4 linked regions of the Xenopus tropicalis genome follow. The protein of the gene in region 4 purifies or fractionates together with the protein of the main gene of each other region. This does not show direct contact. Links are inferred from orthologs where the notes say so. Each region holds a gene or a part of one and is shown on either strand. Other genes may lie near its edges.

Region 1 (6,334 bases), on a different chromosome or scaffold from region 4:
CATCGGTTGCAAATCGCCACCTTAACATTATATTCTCTACAGATGCAGACTGCCTTGCCTTAAGGGGGCCATACACGGGCAGATTTAAGCTGCTGATTCGAGTCCTTTACACCAGTTTGGAAGGTTATCAGCCTGACGCCCTACAAGCCTCCTCGAACAATATCTGGCTTAGGTGGGCATATTGGGAAAAGATCCACTCATTTGGCGAGGTCCAACGTGTATGGCCACCTTAAAGGGGTGGTTCACCTTTGATTTAACTTTTAGTATGTTATTGAATGGCCAAGTTCTAAGCAACTTTTTAACTGGTCTTTATTATTTTTTTTTTTTAGTTTTTTTAATTATTTGCCTTCTTCTTCTGACTCTTCCCAACAATCAAATGGGGGTCACTGATCCCAGTAGCCAAAAAACTATTGCTCTGTGAGGCTATAATTTTATCGTTACTGTTGCTTCTTATTACTTATTTTTCTATTAAGGTCCTCTCCTACCAGCCTCTCATTTAAACCACTCCGATTGCTAAGGTTAATTTAAACCCTAGCAACCAGATAACTGCTGAAATTACAAACTGGAAATCTGCTAAACAAAAAGTCAGAATTACTCTCTACATCAGGGGTGGCCAAAACGTTGATGGCGGTCCACCAGTCGATTTCCCATGGACTTCTGTTGGACTGCGTCTAAGCCTTGAAATGCGGCACTTTTATGTGGTGTGCATATGTATGCTGCGTCGTGTACGTACACAGGGAGGAGCCAATTGCAGTGCTAAAAAGTCTGGGCACCCCTGCTCTACATCATACTAAAAGTTAACTCAAAGGTGAACAACCCTGTAAGCCACTGTCCTAAAGTTGGCTATTCACATCTAGATTTGGTTGGGTAGATTTGCTTAAGCAAATTAACTTTAGCAGGAAATTGTGGCAGAGCTTACTGCAATCTGAACTCCATAAGTTGAATTTTGGAGCCATACTGTGATAAAGTGTACATATATGGATCTTTAGGGTGTTACCACACCCTCACATTTTAGGCCCATTCCATTTATAATATAATGACTATAAAATCTTATACACTTATTTATAGGGATATATAATTCCTATACCCTATAAATATGAAAATATTAATACATATATATATATATATATATAGACACATGTTCATCAAGTGCAAGCAGGCCTGGACTGGGAGTCAAAATAGGCCCTGGAATTCCAAGTACACAGAGGCCCAAACAGCCCCCTACCAGCCCAATAAATAGTGACTGACTATGGCATCTTACAGCAGCCCCTCTGGCATTTGGCTGAATCCACAGATTGCCAGTCCAGGCCAAGATATGAAAACCCCCTATACAAACTAATAAAAGGCCCCAGCAGGCCACTTTGTTACTTAAGTACAGTCTCTATTTAAATTCCTTTAGGTTACATCCCAGAATGAGTCCCCATGCTGTTGGACGTTGGCCACGAACAGCCCCTTTAGAATGTGACATTATTTATTACAATAGAAATTATAATGAAAATGAGGGGCACAAATGTTTCTAAATCAGTTTTTGGGTCATGTGGCTAATTCTCTAACAAAATTTAATACCCTTAAAAAACAAAAGATTAAGAATCACTGCATTAAACATATCATTTGTTCTATGAGGGATTGTCTCGGTAATTCCTCCCCTGCATCGTCCTCAAGACAATGACGCACACACTCTTAGGCCGCACCCCCAGAACCTGCTAATAACAAACAGGTTATTCAATAATAACAGCTTTGTGCAGCTGATAATAGTTAGGGATCAGCCTCGCTGCCTAGGGAGGGAGGATGCAGAGAAGAGAATAAAATACACAAGAGAGTACAGTAAATACCAAAAAATGAGAAAGTATTCTTTGAGCTACAATATAATGTCAATGACTTAGGGCGTTATAAAGGAAGAAAGTGATCTGCACAGAGGTTAGTAAATTAAATGTACACCTAGGAGAGAGGGACAGGCTGGAAAAGTTTCAGGATCTAGTGGTAAAAGGTTAGTTCCCCTTTAAACCAACACTGAATATGATTTAAACAATGATATTGTGAGAATTTTCAACTGGTCTTTTTATGGTTTATGGACATTTTTTTTGTTTTTAGAATTATTTAGCTTTTTGTTCAGTAGCTTCCCAGTTTGAAATTTTAGCAGCTATCTTGTTGCTAGGGTCCAATTACCCTAGCAATTAGCCACTGGGATGAAAGAGAGATTGGAAGATGAATACAAGCCTGAATAGATAAGAAATAAAAAGTAACCATAATATTGGAGCCTCAGAGAGCAATAGTGTTTTGGCTGCCAAATCCCCATTTGAAAGCTGGAAAGAGCCAGAAGAGGATGCAAATAACTCAAAAAAATGAAGACCAACTAAAAATTTACTAAGAATAGGAAATTCTATTCTATTCTTCCCCAGATGGAAGAATTTGTATTTATGTATATTTTTATTCATATAGCGCTCCTTAGGCAAGCAGTACTGTTGCGCAGTAATTAAACATTGCATGAAATTGTGCTATAGCGCCCCTCTATGGCTGCAGCCTGGTGGGGAAGTATTAGGCGTGCACCAAATCCAGGATTCTGATCCTGGGATTCAGTAGAAAGCCGGCACTTTTCTAGCTTCTCAGACAAGACAGTTGGTAATGAAAGACATCATTAACTTGATCCCGGCTCCCGCAAGATAAGGGTTACAGCACCCTCCTTGGCCTATGTGTCACTGTCACAATTATAGCCAACCTGACGACGTCATCCCATGTACACACCTATCTGCGTCCTGGAAAGTCTGAAATGTCTGCTTAACCCATGCACTGCCTGAATCCCAGAGAGGAGGGCCGGGCACTGATCAGATTAGAGAGAGAGATGATGACTGACACCCTATATTCATTATTGGAATCTGAAGACTTGAATCACTGTTTACACACAATGCAAAGGAATCTGCACACTCACACTGCGTCTGTGCAATTCCCAGCTGTACACACGTCCCGACAGGTGCAGCCATGGCACAATGGTAACCATTAGTGATTAATAACAAAGCGCCCAATAAATTATGGTGCCGACACGAGCAAATGCCACAAGATACAACACACATTTACCTATGTTCATCAGTTGATGCAAATTCATAATAAATGCCTCCAGATGTTGTCAAACTACAACCCCCACACCCAGCAAGATGCTAAGATCCACACGTTGCTCATTCCCTAGTTTGCGCCATATATTTTTACAGCAGAAAAACAAATAACACAAAATATCTGATACTACAGAAAATATTATGTTTTGCCCAAATCAATGAACTTACAGAGCCAGCAGTTAATATGTAGTCAAGAGGATAAAGAGCCTTTGTATAGTCCAGTTTCCCCCTTGCCTGAACATTACAGGATCCCTAGAAGTTTTTTCTTTATGGATAAATAACTTTTTTTATACCGATACTCATGCCATACATACTCAGCAATACAGGGTTAATGTAATAACAGGTGCAAAGTTTGCCCCAGTAACCCCTAGCAAACAATCATATTTATCTTTAGCAAATGCCCCTACTAATTGGTCCCTATAGGTTTTTAGAAGTGGAGCAAACTTTGCACTTGGTAGCCCATTACCGCCCAGTACTGTGAAACTAAGTACACAAGCAATTTCCTTTATTAACCACAAACTGCCCTTCAAAAGGAAGATGCAATAACATATAAAGGCTGCCTATTGCTGGGGCTCCTAGCTAATGCCCTGGCTCTGATCTATAATCCACATCCCCAGTGGCCCAGAGAAGCCCCATACATTACTGTTCCTCCATACATTACTGTTCCCCCATGCCCCTCTCCCCCAGTCTGTCATTATCCTCAGTAGGAAGTAAACAGCCCGATCCAAAGTCCAACAGGGATCTAATCTCCTTCATGTGCCCGTCCTGCTAATCTCTCTGCACTCTCCTTCTCAAACCCTTATTGCTAAACGCCATTTCCTCCTGTCTCCCTCTGTACAATGGTACATTCCTGCGCCCCCCCCCCCCCAACTTCATTCCATTGCCCTAAGCATTAGCTACCGGCCCGACTTCTGTCTCCCTGCCCCTACCCCTCACCGGCACAGCAACACTTTCCCCACCTTCCCTGCATTGCCAGGGACCCTCTTATGGAAACTATAACTCCCAGCCCCCCAACCAAGAGCTGCCAGGGAAGTGTAGCAGTTATAGTTCCGCAAGAGCTCAGGCGCAGAAAGTTGTTCCAACCTAAGTTTTTCAATGCAACAACATTTGGGGGTCCCCAAGTTTCTATCAGCCCCGACCGTACTAACTTTCTACACTCCCCCTCCTCCCTTTAACCACTCACCGGCCTCCTGTCCATGGCTGTCTGTCCCTCTGAATCTGCTTAAGGGGAATTTGTTATTCTTCCTGTTGCCTGTGACTTATGAAAGCGATCCTTCCTCTTCGGGCTGCTCTCCCTCCCACCTCCGGCCCCGCTGCTTCTCCCCTCCCCGCAGGGCTAGTGGGAGGGCCCTCCTCCAGGTATTGTGGGCGGGGCCCCAATGGGGACAGTTTACCTCACAATAGTCGTTCCTTGCTAAAAAGAAAGTAACAGGTGCTGTTTGTGAGGCACAGAGTCCCTAGAACAGAGTTTTCAAAGGAAAACGGGTTATGTTCTATAATTCTGTTGAGCCTGCCCATCAGTGGCATTTGACAACCCAAGAGTGAATAACTATATTTTGTGCCCCTGAGCAAAGCTACAGCTAAACTCTAAGGCATGTTCAGGTTTTAACTGTTCAGTTTTTAGCCTTGTAAAACCTTAACAATAATCTGGCCAATAAATGAAAAACATTTAAATATTAAGATAGTCAACATGATTTTTTTTTTCTATTAATAGTTAAAAAACAATTTCTTGTTACTACAGAGAGAAAAAGCAAGTCAGAAATAAGGCATCATTCTTCTAAATTAGCACTGCGGTACTTCAGAGCTTTCTGGATAACTGATTTCTGTGTAACAGGTTCCATTCCTTTAATTACAGGATTGGACTTACTCATCAGGCAAAAATATAGATAGAGCTAGGGTTGTCACCCTTGTGGTTTTGAACTGGACATCCCAGGTTTTCAAAGGTCTGTCTGGTTCAAAACTGTCTGTCCGGTTTGAGCCATTGAAAGAACTGGACAGAAGTGCAGCCAGTTGTGTGTAAGTGATGCAAAACCCTGCTCTGGCATCATAACCTGGTGTGACATCATTGTGCCTGCCTCTGATGTCATCTCACCCACCCCCAGCATCACTGCCCCACCCCTGATGTCATTTGCCCCACCCTTTTTTTCAGGTTTCGCCACCAACAAAGGTGGCGACCATAATTTCAGATAAGAATGAAATGAAATTGTCTATCAGTCAGTGACCATGGGCCCTCTATACATCCTGTGTCCCCAACAACTGTAGGGTTTGATCTTCTGTAGTTGCACCCCTGCTGTGGTTTATTCTCCTGTCCTGTCACAACTGAAATTGTATTTTCACAGTGGTTCAGAACAGTTGTGGTGTTTTCTCCATTAGTGGAGATATGTAGCAATAACTTTAGTTATATTTAGTTGTATGAAAAACAGTGTAGTGTTAATGGTCCCTTAAGCCCAGACACCCACCTGATAGTTCCCCTTTATTCTTTTTCCATTTCATTCATTATGGCTAGTACCACACTGGGCAGATTTTCGGTCTGATAGTTCATATTGCTTCGTTGCGTTGGCCAGGTATAGCCACACTAAATGGAATTTAGCTAAAAACTGTCTACGAATGCTGAAGGGGGATAAAATGTAATATGCAGGTTGATATTTTACTACAAAATCCCATTAGGTCCTGCAGTTGGACTGGCCCACCAGGATACCAGGAAAACTTCCGGCGGGCCCAGGTGTCAGTGGCCCCTCTTGCTTCTAACTATTTAGCCTATTTCATGGCCATTCCCTGTTTCTGTATGGGAACAAGGAAGCTTGATGGATGGAAGAATAGAGTATAGTATGTAGAGAAAAGAGACTAGAATAATAAAGAGTTTGAGGGAGGAGAGGAGGACTTAATGTTTTGAGAGTGGGCCCATGGTTCAGGGTTTTCTGGTGGGCCCCTGGCATCTCAGTCTGACACTGAGGTCCTGTGTGTATTAGTGGCAAGCAGGGAGACTCTTTGGGTTAAAATGAGCCCTTCATAACAGTCACTATTTCTTTGCCAGAACTACTTAACAAACAACTGCCCAGTGCAATCACACACTCACAGGCTAGTGCCACACAAATGCCTTACCGAATAAACCACATTGATTACTCTACACTACAGTATCTAGTAGAATTAAGTCTAAAACAACTGGACTTTTCTGAGTTTTTTTTTTTACTCTAGGAACAGCAGTTACATCTAGGTTGCTGCTCACC
Region 2 (6,450 bases), on a different chromosome or scaffold from region 4:
GGATGAAGATATCAGGGTTCTATGAAGAGTTGGCCTAGAGGTTGAGATCAGCCTTTGATGTGGGATCTTATACTAGGGACCCTGGTTTAATTCCCTGTAGCTACTCTTTGGGATCCTGGACAAGTCCCAGCATAGTTAGTGCACCTATAATGGCTGCATTGCTTGCTTAAAGTGCTTTGAGTCCCGCTGAAGAAGTGTGCTATATAAATCATACCCCTTGGCTCATTACTGTAGAGAATGTTTTGCTAGGTTTTGTCTGTGCTTGTATAATACATATACACTGTATTGCATATGGACAGTTAAGATACAGACATTAATACAAATGATTACCTGAGGCAGTGTTGCCAAAGTGTGCCAATGGTGCAGGTGCAAGATACTAAAGGTGGGCATACACTACAAAATCTGCTCACTTAGCAAGGTCACCAAACAAACAAATCTATGCCCACCTTGGGGGGTGATATCATGCTAATTTGATCAATTGGCCCTAAGGGCTCTGGCACACGGGGAGATTAGTCGCCCGCGGGATGGCAGACGCGGCGGCGCGATTTCGCGCAAATCGCCGAAAAAGAATCGCCCCGCCGTGTCTGCCATCCCGCCGGCGACTTACATGTTCGCCGGTGGGATGGCAGGGGTAGGCAACTCGGGGAGATTAGTCGCCCGCGAACAGGGAGTTTTGCCGCGGGCGACTAATCTCCCCGTGTGCCAGAGCCCTAAAGCTGGCCATACACGTGGCGATCTGACGATGTTTCATGCGAAACATTGTCAGATCCGCCACACACCGTCAGGGCTGAAACAGCAGATAAGGAGGTAGAAACAATAGGATTTCTACCTCCTTCTGCCGATTCAGCCCTGACGGCAGATTTTGGTCAGGCGCCTTCTATGGCGCCCGATCAAAATTTTCTAACCTGGCCAATCGGCGAGTCGTCCGATATCAGCAGCTTCCTGCGATATCGGTCGACTTGCCGACATGCCATACACGCACCGAATATCGTACGAAACAAGGTTTCGGTGCGTGTATGGCCAGCTTAAGGCCAAACTATAACATGAAAGGGATACAAAAAGTCAAGCCTGCACCATCCGATCGTCATCTGGACGATTTTTGGGCAGCTATTGGTTGGGGATGCCTGTCAGAGGGCCCCATACATTGACAGATAAGATGGCGAATTACTGTGAAGAACCCGAATTGGCAGCTTTAAGGTGCATGGCCACCTTTATAGAATTGCTAATATCTTTTCTACCAACCACCTGATATCTTTCCTATCCAAACTTCCCCTCCCCAAAAATCACCTACAATTCCCCTCTTCCTTCCTAGGAGGCGTGGCTAGTCCAGGCCCACCCATGGCAAACTTTGTGTGGAACCTACTGCAGAGGAGAGTGGGTGGGGGCTCTCCAGGCCATGGGACAGGACACCTGTTTACTTGGGGAAGCTGGTTATAATAATTAAATTAATTTAACCTGCAAATAGTTGCAGTCTATATACATATTTATATTGTTTTATTTCTTCCTTAACCTCAAAACATTTTAGTCCGCAGCTTGGCCAATGTTATTAAAAGAATAACTCGTCTCCTGGTCAGGTTTATATAACGGTGTTGTAAGAATTCCATATGGATTTAGTTTGTAAGCTTTATTTGACTACTGAGGTAAATGATTATTTCTGTTACTGCGCTGCAGGCTGCATAGCTATAAGTGCAATGTTCTCAGCTACCATTTATACCAAAGGGGCCCCAGGGAGGCTGTGTGCCCAGGCTGAATACTCTCTAGTTAAACTTTAGAAGCGTTCCCCTAATGTCGCAGCAAGAAACACATTAGACTGCCCGACACGCCTAGGGCCCCCCGCCGCCTCACACTATTCTGAACATAACCCTTGCGTGTGGAATTTCGCACGCCAAGCCCCCATGCCAGTTCATTGGCGGGAATATCGCAGCGGTTTCCGCCGTTCCCCGAGGGACAATTTAACAAGACAAAACCGGGAGCGGCTGTGCCACACACGTGACCTGCTGCTCAGCTGACAGCGCTGCACCTGACGTCATTGATGCTGGCCACGCCCTGAGTTGCGCTGGCCACACCTCTCCCGGCAGCGGAACTCTACGGGATTGCGGCTACACAAGGCAAAAACGCCCAGCGGAGTAAAGTCGGACCGGTGTCCTGCAGTATCTAGCCTGTCAAAATGTAAGTGTGCCAGTAGTGCTTGGGGGGGGCTGCCTTTACAAGTTGCGGGGAACGCCCTGCCCGGTATCCGCCCTTAGCCCTGCGCTACCGAGCGGGGCCTGTGAGGCGTAGAGTTTGGGCGCAGAATGTGCTATTTTGTCCGTACAAAGTTGTATTTAGTTCGGCCGAGAAGTTTGTGCATAGGCTTATAGGGGTGTTTGACAGGGGACACAAGTGCCCTATGGCTTTAAAGGGTAAATACAATTACAATAGGCGTGTAATGTTTCAGTCTGCTTTCTGAACTCCTAGCAGTGTCGGACTGGCCCACAGGGATACCGGGAGAATTCCCAGGGGCCCTCCTGCTTCTAGCCATTTGGCCTAATTCAGGGTCCTTACTTATTTTTCTATAAGGGAACAAAGCAACTAAATATATAGAAAAATAGATTATAGTCTGTAAAGATAAAGAAAAATAACTTGGAATATATAGAGATAAGAAATGGATGAAAAATAATTTGGAGGGTGGCCCCATGGTCTAAGGCAGTGATCCCCAACCAGTGGCTCAGGGGCAACATGTTGCTCCCCAACCCCTTGGGTGTTGCTCTCAGTGACCCCAAACCAGGGAGTTATGTTTGAATTCCTGACTTGGGGGCAAGTTTTGGTTGAATAAAAACAAGATTTACTACCAAATAAAGCCCCTGTAAGCTGATAGTGTGCATAGAGGCTACCTAATAACCCTTATTTGGCTCCTCCATGAACTTTATGGTGCTTGTGTTGCTCTCCAAGTCTTTTTACATTTGACTGTTGCTCACGAGTTAGAAAGGTTGGGGATCCCTGGTCTAAGGTTTTCTGGTGGGCTTTTAGCATCCCAAGTCCGACACTGACTCCTAGCATCTAATGGGATGGGAGTTGTAGTACAATAACAGCTTGTTGTTACATTACATAATATGACTTCTGTTAGAACTCAAAATAGACTTAATGGCTCGCATTTGTATTTACTGCTTCACAAGTCTTGACTCATTTTAAGAAATGGTTCTTAATGTGAATGTTCTGCTGCAGCACATTGTTGTTTTACGGAATTTATGTTGTTCAGATTGGGTGAATTTCATCAGCAGATAGGTTTCATTTCAAGTGCATTTGCTACATGTCACAGGGTAGGTTTTGACCACCATTGTATCCTGGTGGGGGTTTAAGCCCCTGAAATCACCCACGCCTGCCTCCCATAGCAACCAGAGGAAATCACCCTTGTGATGGCTGCATAGGCTGAGGATTTCTAATACATTACTATGGGAAGTGGCAACCAGCAAATTTATCAGATATTGGTCTAAGAATCATAATAAGGAACTTGTTACAGTTAGGTAATACTATTTAGGGTGAAGACACACAGAGCTACTAGTAGCAGCTACTTGTCATGGCTACTAAAAAAGGCTGCTGATCATTTACTGATAGTTATCTCTACATGTGTTAGGGCATTAGGGTATTTTCTGGAGTTTAGTAGCCTTTACAAAGTAGCTGGTACTAGTTGCCCATTGTGTCTTCACCCTTAAAGGAACAGTAACACCAAAAAATGAAAGAGCTTTAAAGTAATAAAAATATAATGCACTGTTGCCCTGCACTGGTAAAACTGGTGTGTTTGCTACAGTAACACTACTATAATTTATATAATAAGCTGCTGTGTAGCCATGGGGGCAGCCATTCAAGCTGGAAAAAAGGAGAAAAGGCACAGGTTACATAGCAGATAACAGATAAGTTTTATCTGTTATCTGCTATGTGCCTGTGCCTTTTCTCTTTTGAATGGCTGCCCCCATGGCTACATAGCAGCTTATTTATATAAATTATAGTAGACTTTCTGAAGTAAACACACAGCTTTTACCAGTGCAGGGCAGCAGCACATTATATTTTAGTTACTTTTATACAATTTCATTTTTTTGGTGTTGCTGTTCCTTTAAGTATCCAGATTATAACCCATATAGATACACTTGGTCAGTGTAGCAGATCTCTTCCAAACTGACTGAACATTAGGATGTAGCCTTTAGGTGACGTATTAACTTTTTTGTGACCCCAGTAGGTCCCTTCTTTCTCTAGAGAATTGCAGATTGCTGATAGCATAGCTCAATCCAATTGGGAACTCTTTTTTTGTGTAAGTCATTTATTTCAGATTCTTCTGATTAATATAATGTAACCGTATGTTGTTAGAGAGGAGAATGCCAGGGTTACACCCAAATTATTTACTCAGAGAAGGGCCAGCAGCAATAAAACAGCTTTAAACCCATTTTTACCAAAAAGGAGAGGAGCTGATCTGCACGTAGATCCCAGTAATTACCCTGGCACTAAGGAGAAGAGAAAGTGTAGCAGCTGCCTGTTTCACTTATGATCTACAGCTGCAGACCAGAATATTGTAATAAAATTATAATTATACACAATTTGTAGATTATAAGCTCTTTTGGGCAGGGCTCTCTTCACCTCTTGTATCAGTTATTGATTGCTTTATATGTTACTCTGTATGTCCATTGTATGAAACCCACTTATTGTACAGCGCTGCAAAATATGTTGGCGCTTTATAAATAAATGTTAATAATATACTGTAAGTTTTGCACTATGTGCACTTATTGCTCAAAGGTCTTTACCTTTGAGCAATAAGTGCAAAACTTACAGCAAAGTTTCTGGTGAATTCCATTCAGATGTTGGGGGCTAATGACTCCCCAGACACTTTTACATTTGATGTGCGTGTGTGTGGAGTTTGGGAGGCATTCTGTCTCAGAGGCTGATTATATCAGAGCTGCAAAGTGTCAATAGGCCAAGTGAATCCCCAGTGGCACCAGTTTGCTTTTAAAGGGGTTGTTCACCTTTTATAGGAGAAGGAAAGGTAAAATCACTGGGGGGTGCTAAAATGTTAGGCACCCCCTAGAGATTGTAATTGCTTACCTTATACCCCAGGTTGGTGCTCCTGTGAGGAGAAAACCCCACCAGCCCGGGGTAGCTAAGAACAAGCGATCCTCTTCCTCCTGTCTACTTTCTTCGTGATCCCGGGGCCAACGCATGTGAGGTAGAGGGAAAAGGCCAGCTTTGTTGTAAAAGTTTGGGTTTTGACTCTACTGCGCAAGCGACTCAAAGACAAGAAGAAGGAAGAGGATCAGTCTTTCGCTGCTACCCTGGGCTGGTGTGTTTTCCTCCCCAGTGATTGTACCTTTCCTTCTCCTTTTAGTAAGGTTTAATTGGTTTTCATTATTATTATTTTTTATAGTTGAATTATCTGCCTTCCTCTTCTGACTGTTTCCAACTTTTAAATGGGGATCAATGACACCGGCAGCTTAAAACTATATCTTTGTGGTCATGCAATTTTATTGTCATTGTTAATTTTTAATACTTAATCTTTCTATGCAAATCCTCTTCTATTCATGTTCCCAACTCTTACAAACCACTGCCTGGTTGTTAGGGTAAATTGCATCCAATAGCAACCAGATAGCTGCTAAAAGACCAAACTGGAGAGCTGCTAAACACAAAGCTAATTAATTGGATTGTGACTAAAAATATAGTGTTTGTGAATGTGATAGGGATCTTAGATTGTAAGCTCCTCTGGGGCATGGCTGATGCAAATGATGTATAATTTTTGTAAAGTGCTGCAGAAATATGTTGGCGCTATCGAGGAAATAAATAATACATCCAACAGGTAGGATCTGATTTTGGACATGCTTGTTGGATTAATTGCCCCAGCATTCAACCAGCCAGCATGCAAGACTTTTCTTTTGAACCATAATTTTTATTTCACTATGAAATTTCAGCAGTGGTTTGATTAATAATGTTTTACTGTGGCCTTTGGAATCAGATAGTGGCATAATATAATTTAGCTTTACAGTTTCCACTAAGAAAACATGTGATGTGGAGATTACATAAGAAAGCTTAGAAGAATTGCTTTTGACCATGTGCATATCTGCTTTTTATATGCAATTGCTGCCATTTCAACTTCTTACAAATAAAATCGTATACTAGAATGTACCCTGGGCTGCAATCGGGCAATAGCTTAGCATAACCTTACAGCCGAATCTGAAATATATAGCAAATTATAAATATTGATGTGTCTGTAAGTGATGTGCGAGTCAACTTTTTTGCTGTGAAAAGCAAACATTTTTGTATCTATGTTAGTAAATAAATTGATGAAAGTCAGCAAAGGCAATTCCCAACATACCCCAACAATTGTACTTACCAACATCTGGAGGCACAATTAACAGTTACAAAGTTGGGTTGGAAAAAAAAGACCAAGGTTCATCAAGTTCAACTGCTCCAAATCAACCTATGTACACATAC
Region 3 (6,442 bases), on a different chromosome or scaffold from region 4:
ATTGCCATCATAAGAAACCTAATCATCAGAGGTACCTGGTAGTTACAGCAGAAAAAGCAGGGCCCCAATTAAAAACTTTGGGCCCTGTACAAGTAATTTACATAGGACCCGCAATGAACACAAGTGTGCAGTACCAAATTTTTGTGTGTGCAAATTGAACAGCTGATGATACTCTATAATAAGTAGTTCATAAATAAAGTTAATGTGTTAGTTAATATAAAGAGTTAATTAATGTGCTAATTAGCGGTTATCTGGGTCAGTGGATTTTGCTGTAAATTTCAATCCTACACTTCTTCCTGCTCTTGCTCTGCACTGCCATTACTTGATGCATAAAATACATAAACTGCGTAAGTTTAAGGGCCCAGTGATCTTGCTGTGGGGCCCAATAAATAGTCAGTATTAGTTCTTTGAAAGTATCGGACGTTTTTGCATAAGTTACATAAATTGTGTAAGTGTAGGGGCCAAATGATATTGCTATGGGGCTCAATAACCAGTCATTCCACTGCTGAAAAGTTCATGTAGGAGATGCTCATATAATTCAGTAAATGAATCCCAATATAAACAGCTGATGTTACACTATAACATAATTAATATAAATACATAAAATAATATGCCAATAAGTCAGCAAGTCAATTGGGAAGGGGGCAGTGGAATTTACCTTGAGTTTTTTAATTCATTGGTGGTCAGTGGAGTTGGCCTCTGCCAAGTTTCTTTGCCTTGTCTTTACCTTGATACACAAGGTAAGTAAGTTTCTAGGCAGTTTTTACGGAAGTTACACAAATTGTGTACGCTTTGACGGAACTTCATACGTAATAAACAATTTTAATAACTTTGGCAACACTGCCAGGCCCACCATCAGAAGATTATTTCACCGAGCACTGCACAACAGTACCCCTCTCCCCCTGACGGTGGCTCTGAAAGAGAGGATGATAATGGGATGGGAAAGAGGAGAGCAGTTAAGGGGTCTTTTTTTAAAAATTCCTGGCGCACCTCTGCTAATTCAAACTACCGTATTTCTACCTCCCACACACACAATACTTTCTTAAAGATGATTCAAAATGCAGTGACGCAAAGATTTTTGCGTGGCACAATACTCATCACTTGCCTCTGTAAGAACAGTAATCCCTAACCAGTGGCTTGTGAGCAACATAGTGCTCGCTAACCCTAGATGTCTCTCCAGGGGGTCTTAAAGCAGGTGCTTGTTTTTTAATTTTTGGCTTGAAGGCAATTTTTAGTTGCATAAAAACCAGGTGTACTGCCAAACAGAGCCTCCTGTATGCTGCCAGTCCTCATAGGGGCTACCAAATAACCAATCACAGTTCTTATCTAGCAACCCCCAGAAACATCCATACATAAAACGCTGCTATCCACTGGCACTGATGGACTTACCAAACTGCCCTCCCTCAGCATTCAGAGTTCCCAAGAAGTCCAACAGATATTACACATCGCCATGTCCAGACTGGGAGTCAAAATAGGCCCTGGCATTTCAAGTACACAAGAGGTCCAAACAGCCCTCTACCAGCCCAATAAATATTAACTGTCTATAACATCTTACAGCAGCTCCTCTGGCATTTGCCAGAACCCATAGATTGCCAGTCCCAGCCTACACATCACTCATATATAATTCCTGTATATATCACCTTGCCCTTTAACAGCAGCCTTGAACATACATATCACACACTATGCTTCAACTGCTTACCTGTTGTACAGGTAAACAACATTTTACTAAAGATCACAATACTTGTCCCCCATGTGCACCCAGCATATTTCTCATCTCCCTCCATTAAATCCAAGTACTAGGGGTGTAGGGAAAAAAAAATAATTAGACCCAGCAATTGCTCCAGGACCTGGGATATTAAGTACCCCATCCTCCAAAGGCGCACTTGCTGATTTTTATAAACCAGCAGAATTCTACATTTGCATTCCTTGTTCTCTTTAAAGGAGTGGCAACAACAGCATCTTTTCCAAGCTGTCACGTGGTATCATGACTGGGAGGCGCTTATCGCTGATAGGAGCCTGACAATTCCTACGTGACATCACGGTCACATGGCTATGACATCACGACTTCCTTAGAGTCGCTTCATCCCACCATCTCTTATACTCAGAAAGGAGGACGGGGCCCTAAGAGGAGCAACATGTCTGGGTACATGAAGCAGCAGAGCCGTGCCCGGGACTTCAACAGCATTATTCAGACCTGCAGCGGCAATGTGCAGAGGATCACAAATAACAGTCAGTATCCCCAGTTTTTCTACAGAGCACCGGTCCTATTCCTGTATATATATCCGTGATCGCAGCGAGCTGCACACACCCGCAGTATATAGATGGGGGTACTGGTGGAGATTTGAAGGACGAATTGTTAGCCATTGGCAATGGGAACTTTTGGACAACAGAGATTAACATGTTATATGGGCCCCTTGTATTATGTGTAATTCCCAGGTGCTACACACCCACTGATGTACAGGAAGGGCGGCTATACTGACACAGCTGGAAATAGAGAAAATTATTTATATAGCATTGCATATATGGAGACTGGACAGTTGGCAAATGACAAAAATCAACTAATGTTTCCTTGTGTTGGTTGGTGGGTGGGTGTACAGTACAGCAGCTATCAGCTGGCATGTTCATTGGCAGAGGGGCACAGAGAAGCAGGGGTGACAGGCAGGAAGGGAGCTAAGTGCAGTGGGAAGTCATTTCCTACTGGAGATTCCTGATTGGGTTACTGTTACCAAGAAGTTACTACTGTTAGGCTTGTCACCTGGTTGGGCTCTTGCTGTGGTTAAACTACACATTACAATATTATCCTAAAGGCAGCATTTGTAGAAATGTAGTTCAGCAACCAGTGAAATCAGGCTGAGCAGTTTTACCCTCGCTTACTGAATTTGTGTTGAGTGGGTTACATTCCTGCCTTACTCCATGGGGGTTTTTTGTTCCCCCCTAACTGCCTGATCACTGCTTTGCAAGCTCAGAGAAAATTTTGGGCGTGGGCACAAGCAGGATTCACCAGGTCAGGCAGGGGCCATGAAATTGTAATATTTCCTTCCTCCCAGCATGACAGCAGGATAGGAGTTCATAATGTGTGATTTATCATGTTGAATGAATGAGACTTGGCAGGAAATATGTATTTTCTTGTATATCATTATGTATTAGATTCACAGTATTGACTTCTGCCAATCATTACATACCCCCAGAAGTAAGTAAATAAATAAATATGGAGTCTTGGTACTACTGGCCTCTGTTCTTCAAGTCTATGTGTAGTTTCATTCTTAAACAAGTGTTCAGCTCTTAATTAAAGGATGCCATGGAATAGTAGTAAATACGTCATAAGAGCAATTTGTCACTCCCTCTATTTGGACTAGACATAAGACATTTACTATCCAAACATACCCATTCCTTAACCATCTTAAAGGGGCATCTTTAACAAAATTACACTTTGCCTGTTGGTCATGTTAGGTTTAGTAAAGTAAAGGAATTTGGGGGGAAAATACCTTACATTTTTACTTGTTAAAAATCCTATGTTTCCGCTTCCATTTGAAAGTGAAATCACATGATTAATGTCCTTAGTCTAAGAAGGCAGCAGTCAGTCCTGTCTTGCTTTATAGCTGAGAATCTAGTTATCTTTATAACAGAACATTCATTGTACTGTGATTCAAGCAGGCTTGGACTGACATGGTATTTTTTTTTAAAAAGGTTTTTTTGAGATGATAGTATCTTAATTATATTCAGTATTTTTAATGAGAAGTGGTAAATGTGCACTCCATGTGAGAGCCTCTAATTAAAAGTGGATATAGCAAGGACGTAATTCATGTAATGAGATTTTTTGTTCATTGTTCACTATGCTGCTGTTTTTCTTTTTGTAATTATAGACTAGCACAGTGCAGTGTTTACAGGAAAATTGCTGCTGTCCTACAAATGACTGTTATTGTATGTTTTGGAATGGCCCAGTTATTCTGCACTGATAACAGCACACTGCTGAGATCTGATAACTGTGTTTTCAGCTTCTCGGTATGCTGTCAAGGTGTGTTGTTGTGTCATACTGATATAAGGTGCACTGTTGTCATGAAGTGCGGTACAGGTTGAAGTTACATAGTCTTTTTCAGATAGGTAATGTTTTATTGGGCATGTTCAGCAAATATAATTTATACAGAGACTTTACAGGTTTTCACAGGAATTTGTTGGTGAAAAAGGTTCCTTCCATAACCTAAAGCTTTAACACTGAAGCCTGGCATCCCCCTACCCCCTTTACTTACCTGTGGCACTTGTCTAGTCAAGGTTGATTTAAACAGTACTTCCAGCCTTGTCGGGTCAGTACCACACCCAAAGCCCAACATCTTCAAAACAGCAGCCATTTCTAAAAAAGAAGTTGAAGTCTGGTACAGGTAAATAAAGAAGGTGCAATATTTTAGTTGTAACTCATTAGAGATGGCCTAGAAAAGGAATATCAATAATAAATATAAATTTCTATTAAAAAAAAAAAAAAACACAGGTACAGGTATGCGACCTATTATCCAGAATGCTAGGGACCTGAGATTTTATGGATAAGGGATCTTTCTGTAATTTGGATCTCCATAGCTTAAGTCTACTAAAAGATTATTTAAAAATTAACCTCAATAAGCTTGTTTTGCTACCAATAAGGATTAATTTTATCTTAGTTGGAATCAAGTTCAAGTAACTGTTCTGTTATTACAGAGAAAAAGGACATTTAAAAAAAATATTAGAATTATAGGCTTATAATGGAGTCAGTGGGAGTCGGAACTTCCTGGATAAGGGGTTTCCTGATAACAGATCCCATACCTGTACAGGTTTGGGATCAGTTATCTGGAAGACTTCAGACCTGGGGTTTTCCGGATAAGAAGTCTTCCCATGATACTGATCTCAGTACCTTTTTTAAATTTGTTAAAAGGAAAAAAATAATCTGCTACCAACATGGATTTTACTAATTTAGTTACCATGCAAGTACAAGGTACTGTTTTCTTATTACAGGCAGTATGGCCACTTATGACCCACCCCCATTCTGGTCGAATCATTGGAATACACAAGTACAGGTGATTTTCACAAAGACCACCCTTGAAAATATGCACAAGGATTTCAGATGAGAATCCCATTATAATCGCCAGTAATAGCTTTTCCATATGTATTATGGGGCTATAATATGAGTCTATTTTTACACTCTTTAAAGTGAAGATAAGTATGCTGGTTACAATTTCTGCCAACTCCTCCTTGCAAAAATTTTCCAGATCTTTCAAATTTCAAGGGCATCTATTGTGCACAGCCCTCTTCAGGTCACCCCCAGATTTTCATTCAGATTAAGGTCTAAGCTCTGGCTGGGCCATTCTGGAAAATGTATCTTTCTTTGGTGAATCCATTGCTTTGTTGATTTAGATGTATGCTTTGGGTAATTGTCATACTGAAAGGTAAAGTGTAGGGAACAACCAGTACTTGCCAAGAAATCCAGCAGCTCCTTTAATGTTGTTGAAGGCCTCCCTGACCAGTTTTCTCCTTGTCTTCTCATCAATCCTGATCTTTGTATAGTCACTGTTGAGCTATATTTTCTCCTCTCGTTGATGACTTCACCATGCTCCATGGAATTTTTAATGATTTGGATAATTTTTGTACCTCTGTCCCCATTGATACCTTTCAATGATGAGATCTTTCAAGTTTTGAAAGTTTTTTGTGGACCATGGCTTTTGGAGTATGAGACCAGGAAACCTTATCTGAGCTCTATCAGAGCCACTTTAATTGATGTCAGGTATATACTAAGTACTGTTTGAGATGAGACTGAATGTGATTAGTTGATTCTGAATGCAGCCACATCCTTGATCATTAAAGGGTGTGCACATTAATACAGCCAGGTTTTTGTATGGTTTTCCTTTCACTAAAATGTTTGATTTGTTTTCAGCTTCTTTGTATAGATGGTAATTTTGCACTAAATGTGGAATAATTTCTCACAGGATTTATGTTTCTTTTTTTAATTAAACAAAAACCTGCCATTTTGCAGGGGTGTTTTGGCTTATATCCAGTGTATGTAATGTGTGAAACACTTGCAAGGTGCTTTTCAGCTATATAGTTTGTGTGTTTGCCTAGTTTATCTTCTTTTAGCGGAACTGATAATAATGTAATGGTAAAGGGCTGTAACTGTATACAACGCATATAATATGCTGCTAATATTTCTTTTAGAGATGCTTATTAAGCCAGTTGGAAAACCTGTAGATTGTATAATTGTGCATAAGTTGCTGCCTCAATACATTTCTTAATTTGTAGCAGTTACAGTTTGTTTAAAGATCTAGTAGCTCTAATAAGTGAAAATAATTCATATTCATTCTTGTCTGAAAATTCACTTTTGCATTTTTAGGGAAGAATTCAACTTTTAGATGATGACCACTGACTACAATGGGTGCCAGCAGACTTTTTGAGTGTGTTTTAAAATGTAGTGGGCGAAGAATGA
Region 4 (5,880 bases):
CTGGGACCCAACGGGCTGGTACCCCCCATCGGCTCCGGGGGGCTCACACACCCACACAATGAGCTGGGAATTATTACTGAAACGCTAATATTGGGTTAAGTTACCCTTTAAATCTTATTGTTGGGCAGCCATGTGGCCCTAAAGCGCAGGGTAGAAATAAAGGGCGTTTGCGTGGAGTGACCCCCGAGTGAGGCCTCAGACAGGGGTGCCAGGGCTGTGCCCCCGGGGGGGGTATTGGGGTGACACTTTAATGTCTCGGTCTCACTATAAAGTTCATTTCAAGGTGAAACAAACCCTTTTGGGGGATAAAAGTGAAATAACTGGGAAACCGAGGAGTCAAGGGGCGACTTCTGAGGGCGCCAACCCCCCCAACTCTGCGCCAACCCCCCCAACTCTGCGCCAACCCCCCCAACTCTGCGCCAACCCCCCCATCTCTGCACCAACCCCCCAACTCTGCGCCAACCCCCCCAACTCTGCGCCAACCCCCCAACTCTGTGCCAACCCCCCCAACTCTGCGCCAACCCCCCCAACTCTGCGCCAACCCCCCCAACTCTGCGCCAACCCCCCCATCTCTGCCTTTCAGCTTCTGATAGATTGTAAGCTTCTCCGACCATCATTTATGAAAGCAAAGTGAGCCCCGGGGGGGGGGGGGCGACCTTTCTTCCAGCAGTGAAAGAGTCGACAGGGACCCTGGGGAGGTTTGTACACACAGAAACAAATGGGGGTATCAGCGGGGGGGGGGGGGGGCGGCTTGTTCTCTGTCTCCCGGGTGATCCATCATTCTCCGCCGGCCGCGCCGCGTCCCCCCCTATTCATCCGACACTGAGTGCCCAGCATTCATCCAACGCGCTGACCCCCCAGGTCTCCTCTGCAAACAGAGCGTATGAAAAGCCAGAGTGGGGCGAGCGGGGCTGGAGTGGGGGCGCCGGGGGGCTCCGAGGACTTGCTGATCCCTGGAACACATTCATATCCTTTGCTTGGAGCTCTCGCCGGGGGGGAACAATAGCCGAGGGGCTCAAAGGTCTGGGATCTGCAAATAAAGGGTCCCTGCTGTCAGGGGCAGCGGGACGTGGAATGAGCACCCATATCCCCCCCGGCGCGGGCTGGGGGGCCCTCTGTTTGCCCCGTTACTAGGAGGCCGCCGGGGAAAAATGGAGGCATTTCCAAGGCCATTGAAGTGCAGGTTTATTGGGCAAATAAAGCTGCTGTGAGACAGTTTAGCCGGGGGGGGGGGGGGGGGGGGTTAATGAGCTGAAGGGAATGGGGGGGTTACAGCCCATCAGTTATACCACATGCTGGCAGTGCCCACTTCCTATATTGGGGGCAAAGCACTTGAGCTGGGATTAACCGGGGCAGCGTGGGAATTCTGCCCATCAATACGGGCAACGTATATCGCGGGCTGGGGGGGCTCCTACTGCTCAATCAACCCCCCAATACCCCCCCACCAACTCAGTTTCCCTACAGCACAGAATTTCACATTAAGCCCCCCCTTGAAGGTCCGACGTTGCCCATAGATATAGGGACCCACTGATCAGTCATATGGGGGGGCCCCTATACCCTCCCCTGATAGTCACTATCCTGGCACCTTAGTGCCCCTGGCTGCTCTTACCCAAGGTGCCCACATTCCTGGCATCATATAATGGCACGCAGGGGGGTATTTAGCTGAGCCCCATAACCAATGAGGTTACGCCAATGCCCAGCCAATAAGGAGTGATTTTCCATTATTGGGCAGAAGGGGATGTGGGCAGTCATAGGCCGATGCCAGGAATGGGGGCTCTAAATGCCAGTAAGAACTGGGGTTGGCATCCAGGTGCCCGGCTTATCTCCCCTTTAATCCGTAGGGAGGAGGCCAATGTGGCCCCTGCGCCATTCATTTCTATTGGCTGAATATAGTGGAGGAGCCGCCTCTATCTACTGCCCTGTTTGGGCCCTTAAGAGCCTCTGGGGCCCTAGGCTGGAAGGCTGACATAGTTTAGCAGGGGGGCTGCTGTGCGTGGGGGCTGGATTGGGAAAGACACCCCCATAATAAACACTTACACCCCAAATTCCATGTCACACAGTAATGTATAAATAAAGCCACGATCTCGGCTTGGGGGCCACAGAGCAATAGAACGCCGGCAGCTTATTGGCCCGTGTATGGGGCCCCGGGGTATCTGTCTGTATATCAATAAGGAAAGCAAAGCTCTTGATTGCAAGCTCTGCAGTCTATCCCACAGCCCAGTGTCCCCCCCTACTGGAGGCCAATGATACAGAGACCCATGTATGGGGCCCGGGGCATCTGTCTGTATATCAATAAGGGAAGCAAAGCTCTTGATTGCAAGCTCTGCAGTCTATCCCACAGCCCAGTGTCCCCCCCTACTGGAGGCCAATGATACAGAGACCCATGTATGGGGCCCCGGGGTATCTGTCTGTATATCAATAAGGGAAGCAAAGCTCTTGATTGCAAGCTCTGCAGTCTATCCCACAGCCCAGTGTCCCCCCCTACTGGAGGCCAATGATACAGAGACCCGTGTATGGGGCCCCGGGGTATCTGTCTGTTTATCAATAAGGGAAGCAAAGCTCTTGATTGCAAGCTCTGCAGTCTATCCCACAGCCCAGTGTCCCCCCCTACTGGAGGCCAATGATACAGAGACCCGTGTATGGGGCCCCGGGGTATCTGTCTGTATATCAATAAGGGAAGCAAAGCTCTTGATTGCAAGCTCTGCAGTCTATCCCACAGCCCAGTGTCCCCCCCTACTGGAGGCCAATGATACAGACTCCTGACCTGGGAGTTATTTACCCTCTTTGGGTTGATTCCTGGTGGTTCCCTAAGAAACCAATCGCTCTGACCCCGGGGGCCACCCATGGAGGGCCGGCACAATGGCATGCTGGGACGCTTTGTCTCGGCATTTGCCCCCCCCCGGCCCCTTGTGTCTGACCTTGATCTCAAACTGGGAGAAGTGACCTTGATCTCCCCCCAAATCAAAGCAACGAAACTAATTGTGTCCTTAATCCACTTAGCCTTGTGCCCCCCGGCCACTTCAGGATTGGAGGGAGGAGGGCCCCCCCTTGCCATTTAATCCCTGCGCGGTCAGCGGGAGCACGAACGGCTGGGCTTGGGGATTCCTAACGATTGCCCCCAGTGTGCGGGGTAACAAAGAGACCAACAGCGTGGAACTGGGGCCACAGAGAGCAACCCTGGGGGGGCAATTACCAGACAGATACGGGGGGGGGGTGAGAATCCCTTCTGCTTGTGCTAAGTCGGCATGTACAGGGGTTAAACCCAGCCAGGGGGGGCACATGGGGTAAATAAGCCCCCGCTATATCTGTCCTTGGATTTGTTCTTTCCGTGAATTCATTGTGTTTGTTCCCATCACATTCCCCGTGGGAACCCAGATCCTCCTGTCATTGGCGCAGCCCTGCAGTTCAACTACACCCCTACGGGAAGCTGCGATTCATGGGGATGCTGGGAAAGTTTAGTCACCTCTGCAGAACCAGAACCCACGACCCAATTCGGCCCCATTGGACCCCACTTATTGGCGTTGGCACCTACCGCAGGAGCCGGATTTCCCATCCACCAGTTTGATGTGTCGGGTTTGGTTGCGGATCTTGGAGTCGGTCGTGTCCACCAAGGCGCTCACGTCATCGATGATTTCTGTAACGAGGAGGGGAGACCCCAATAAGCACTGCGCCCCATTATTATTATTAGAAATCTATAGCTGGGTAAGGGGCCGTCTGTACCCCTAGTTACACCCTATATAACTGTGCCCCATTGGCTCGGGGGGTGCCAAGAACACCTGGGAAGGTAGGATTCCAACAAACACCCCCCAATATACCTGTACCATCTCTGCTGATAATCCTTTCCCTGAATCCACTACCCCACAGCAGATTTACAAGCCCCGGCTGTGGCAAATAACTGCCCCCTGTTACTGTAGCGCCCCCCCATTTCCATTCCTGACCCAAAGGGGGTCTCACATAAGCCCCAGAAGCCCCTTCAGCAGGTAGAAGCAGCACCGGGAGGGGGGTTCCATATATCCATATAGCGCCCCCCCCATTTCCATTCCTGACCCAAAGGGGGTCTCACATTAGCCCCAGAAGCCCCTTCAGCAGGTAGAAGCAGCACCGGGGGGGGTTCCATATATCTATATAGCGCCCCCCCATTTCCATTCCTGACCCAAAGGGGGTCTCACATTAGCCAGAGAAGCCCCTTCAGCAGGTAGAAGCAGCACCGGGAGGGGGGGGGTTCCATATATCAAAATAGCGCCCCCCCATTTCCATTCCTGACCCAAAGGGGGTCTCACAGTAGCCCCAGAAGCCCCTTGGGCAGGTAGAAGCAGCACCGGGAGGGGGGGGTTCCATATATCAAAATAGTGCCCCCCCATTTCCATTCCTGACCCAAAGGGGGTCTCACAGTAGCCCCAGAAGCCCCTTGGGCAGGTAGAAGCAGCACCGGGGGGGGGGTTCCATATATCAAAATAGTGCCCCCCCATTTCTATTCCTGACCCAAAGGGGGTCTCACAGTAGCCCCAGAAGCCCCTTGGGCAGGTAGAAGCAGCACCGGGAGGGGGGGGTTCCATATATCAAAATAGCGCCCCCCCATTTCCATTCCTGACCCAAAGGGGGTCTCACAGTAGCCCCAGAAGCCCCTTGGGCAGGTAGAAGCAGCACCGGGGGGGGGGTTCCATATATCAAAATAGTGCCCCCCCATTTCTATTCCTGACCCAAAGGGGGTCTCACAGTAGCCCCAGAAGCCCCTTGGGCAGGTAGAAGCAGCACCAGGGGGGGGTTCCATATATCCATATAGCGCCCCCCACCCCCGGGGAGGCACGCTAGGTGTGGAATTCAGACGTGTGAGCTCACAGGCCGAGGGAGAATTCCTTCCATGGAACGTTCCGTTTGGCCCCTGCAGGTAACACAGTGCAGCCGTGTTTGTTGTGGGGCCCCCGGGGCATTTTCCCTGTCAAACTGGAATATTATGAGGCAAATGAGCCCTTCGCACAAAACCCCTCACGTGGTGCAACTGGGGGGGGGGGGCAAATATTCTGCTGCTCCCCAAGCAAGAATGAGTTAACTGCACATGAAGCTTTGCCCCACGTGGGGGTATCTTTATCCATACCCAGAACTTCATTTCCCATCATCCTCGCTTCCCAGAGCCGGGCTGGGCTCAGCCAACTAATAATCTAGCTTCATTATGAATCTGCTTTCTGGTTGCTATGTTGACAGATCATAGCAACCAGGTGGCATTTTTATGTGAGATGGGCAGATACTGCCAACAGCAAACTTATTCCAAATAGGAACATGCCCGGCCTAAATAACAGTTACTTCCGTCAGAAGACTAGACTGTAAGCTCTTTAGGCCATTCTCTCTCATACAGAACCAATGGGTCGCTGCTTTCCCAGCAGAGCACTCCGTGACTCTGTGCTGCCCCCTCAGGCTGGGGAGCCAATGGGCACAGGGGTGGGAATAGCCCCTTTGTACTGCTCCAGGCCGGGGCAAATCCCGCTGATGGATAAGGGCACGTGTGTGAGTGGCAGAGCTCTGCGCCGTGCCATTGTAACCCCCAGAGCCCCATCAGGGATGTTTCATGTTGTTCTTGGTATTCGGGTTACAGCAGCCCCCCCCCCCCCCCCCCCCCCCCCCCCCCGTCCCACATACAGGCCTGGGCTTTGTTTATTCATGGAGCTAAATGGCCATAGGGACCCCCGACTCTCTCATTTGCCCCATTCTGCCCCCAGTTCAGCATTGCCCCGGGGGGTCCCCAGCAGAGCTGCCCCATGTCGGCACCCAGCCCCCCAAATAATGAACTAAATACACCCCGGCAAGTTTAGGGCCCCCAACTCTTCTCTCCTTCCCTCCCCCAATTGTCTGGCCCTACTGCCCCCCATCCCTCCCTATATTTAC

What was found. Proteins that work in one complex are often made in the same cells at the same time.
Region 1: the proteins of stx8 (region 4) and vamp8 purify together in Homo sapiens (co-immunoprecipitation; 5 studies listed by BioGRID and IntAct, with this or other methods). This does not show direct contact. The link is inferred for Xenopus tropicalis from reciprocal best matches to the Homo sapiens genes STX8 and VAMP8.
Region 2: the proteins of stx8 (region 4) and vamp3 purify together in Homo sapiens (co-immunoprecipitation; 3 studies listed by BioGRID and IntAct, with this or other methods). This does not show direct contact. The link is inferred for Xenopus tropicalis from reciprocal best matches to the Homo sapiens genes STX8 and VAMP3.
Region 3: the proteins of stx8 (region 4) and stx12 purify together in Homo sapiens (affinity purification with mass spectrometry; 3 studies listed by BioGRID and IntAct, counting the BioPlex papers as one, with this or other methods). This does not show direct contact. The link is inferred for Xenopus tropicalis from reciprocal best matches to the Homo sapiens genes STX8 and STX12.

Annotation. Positions count from the first base shown.
Region 1 is NC_030679.2:125,650,068-125,656,401, reverse strand, and holds the start of vamp8 (vesicle-associated membrane protein 8), read right to left. Parts: upstream 4,329-6,334; 5' UTR 4,306-4,328; coding exon 4,291-4,305; intron 1-4,290. UniProt on the Homo sapiens protein: SNAREs, soluble N-ethylmaleimide-sensitive factor-attachment protein receptors, are essential proteins for fusion of cellular membranes.
Region 2 is NC_030683.2:101,172,779-101,179,228, forward strand, and holds the start of vamp3 (vesicle-associated membrane protein 3), read left to right. Parts: upstream 1-2,122; 5' UTR 2,123-2,167; coding exon 2,168-2,169; intron 2,170-6,450. UniProt on the Homo sapiens protein: SNARE involved in vesicular transport from the late endosomes to the trans-Golgi network.
Region 3 is NC_030678.2:83,637,526-83,643,967, reverse strand, and holds the start of stx12 (syntaxin-12), read left to right. Parts: upstream 1-2,114; 5' UTR 2,115-2,135; coding exon 2,136-2,229; intron 2,230-6,442. UniProt on the Homo sapiens protein: SNARE promoting fusion of transport vesicles with target membranes. Together with SNARE STX6, promotes movement of vesicles from endosomes to the cell membrane, and may therefore function in the endocytic recycling pathway.
Region 4 is NC_030686.2:49,471,327-49,477,206, reverse strand, and holds part of stx8 (syntaxin-8), read right to left. Parts: intron 3,635-5,880; coding exon 3,533-3,634; intron 1-3,532. UniProt on the Homo sapiens protein: Vesicle trafficking protein that functions in the early secretory pathway, possibly by mediating retrograde transport from cis-Golgi membranes to the ER.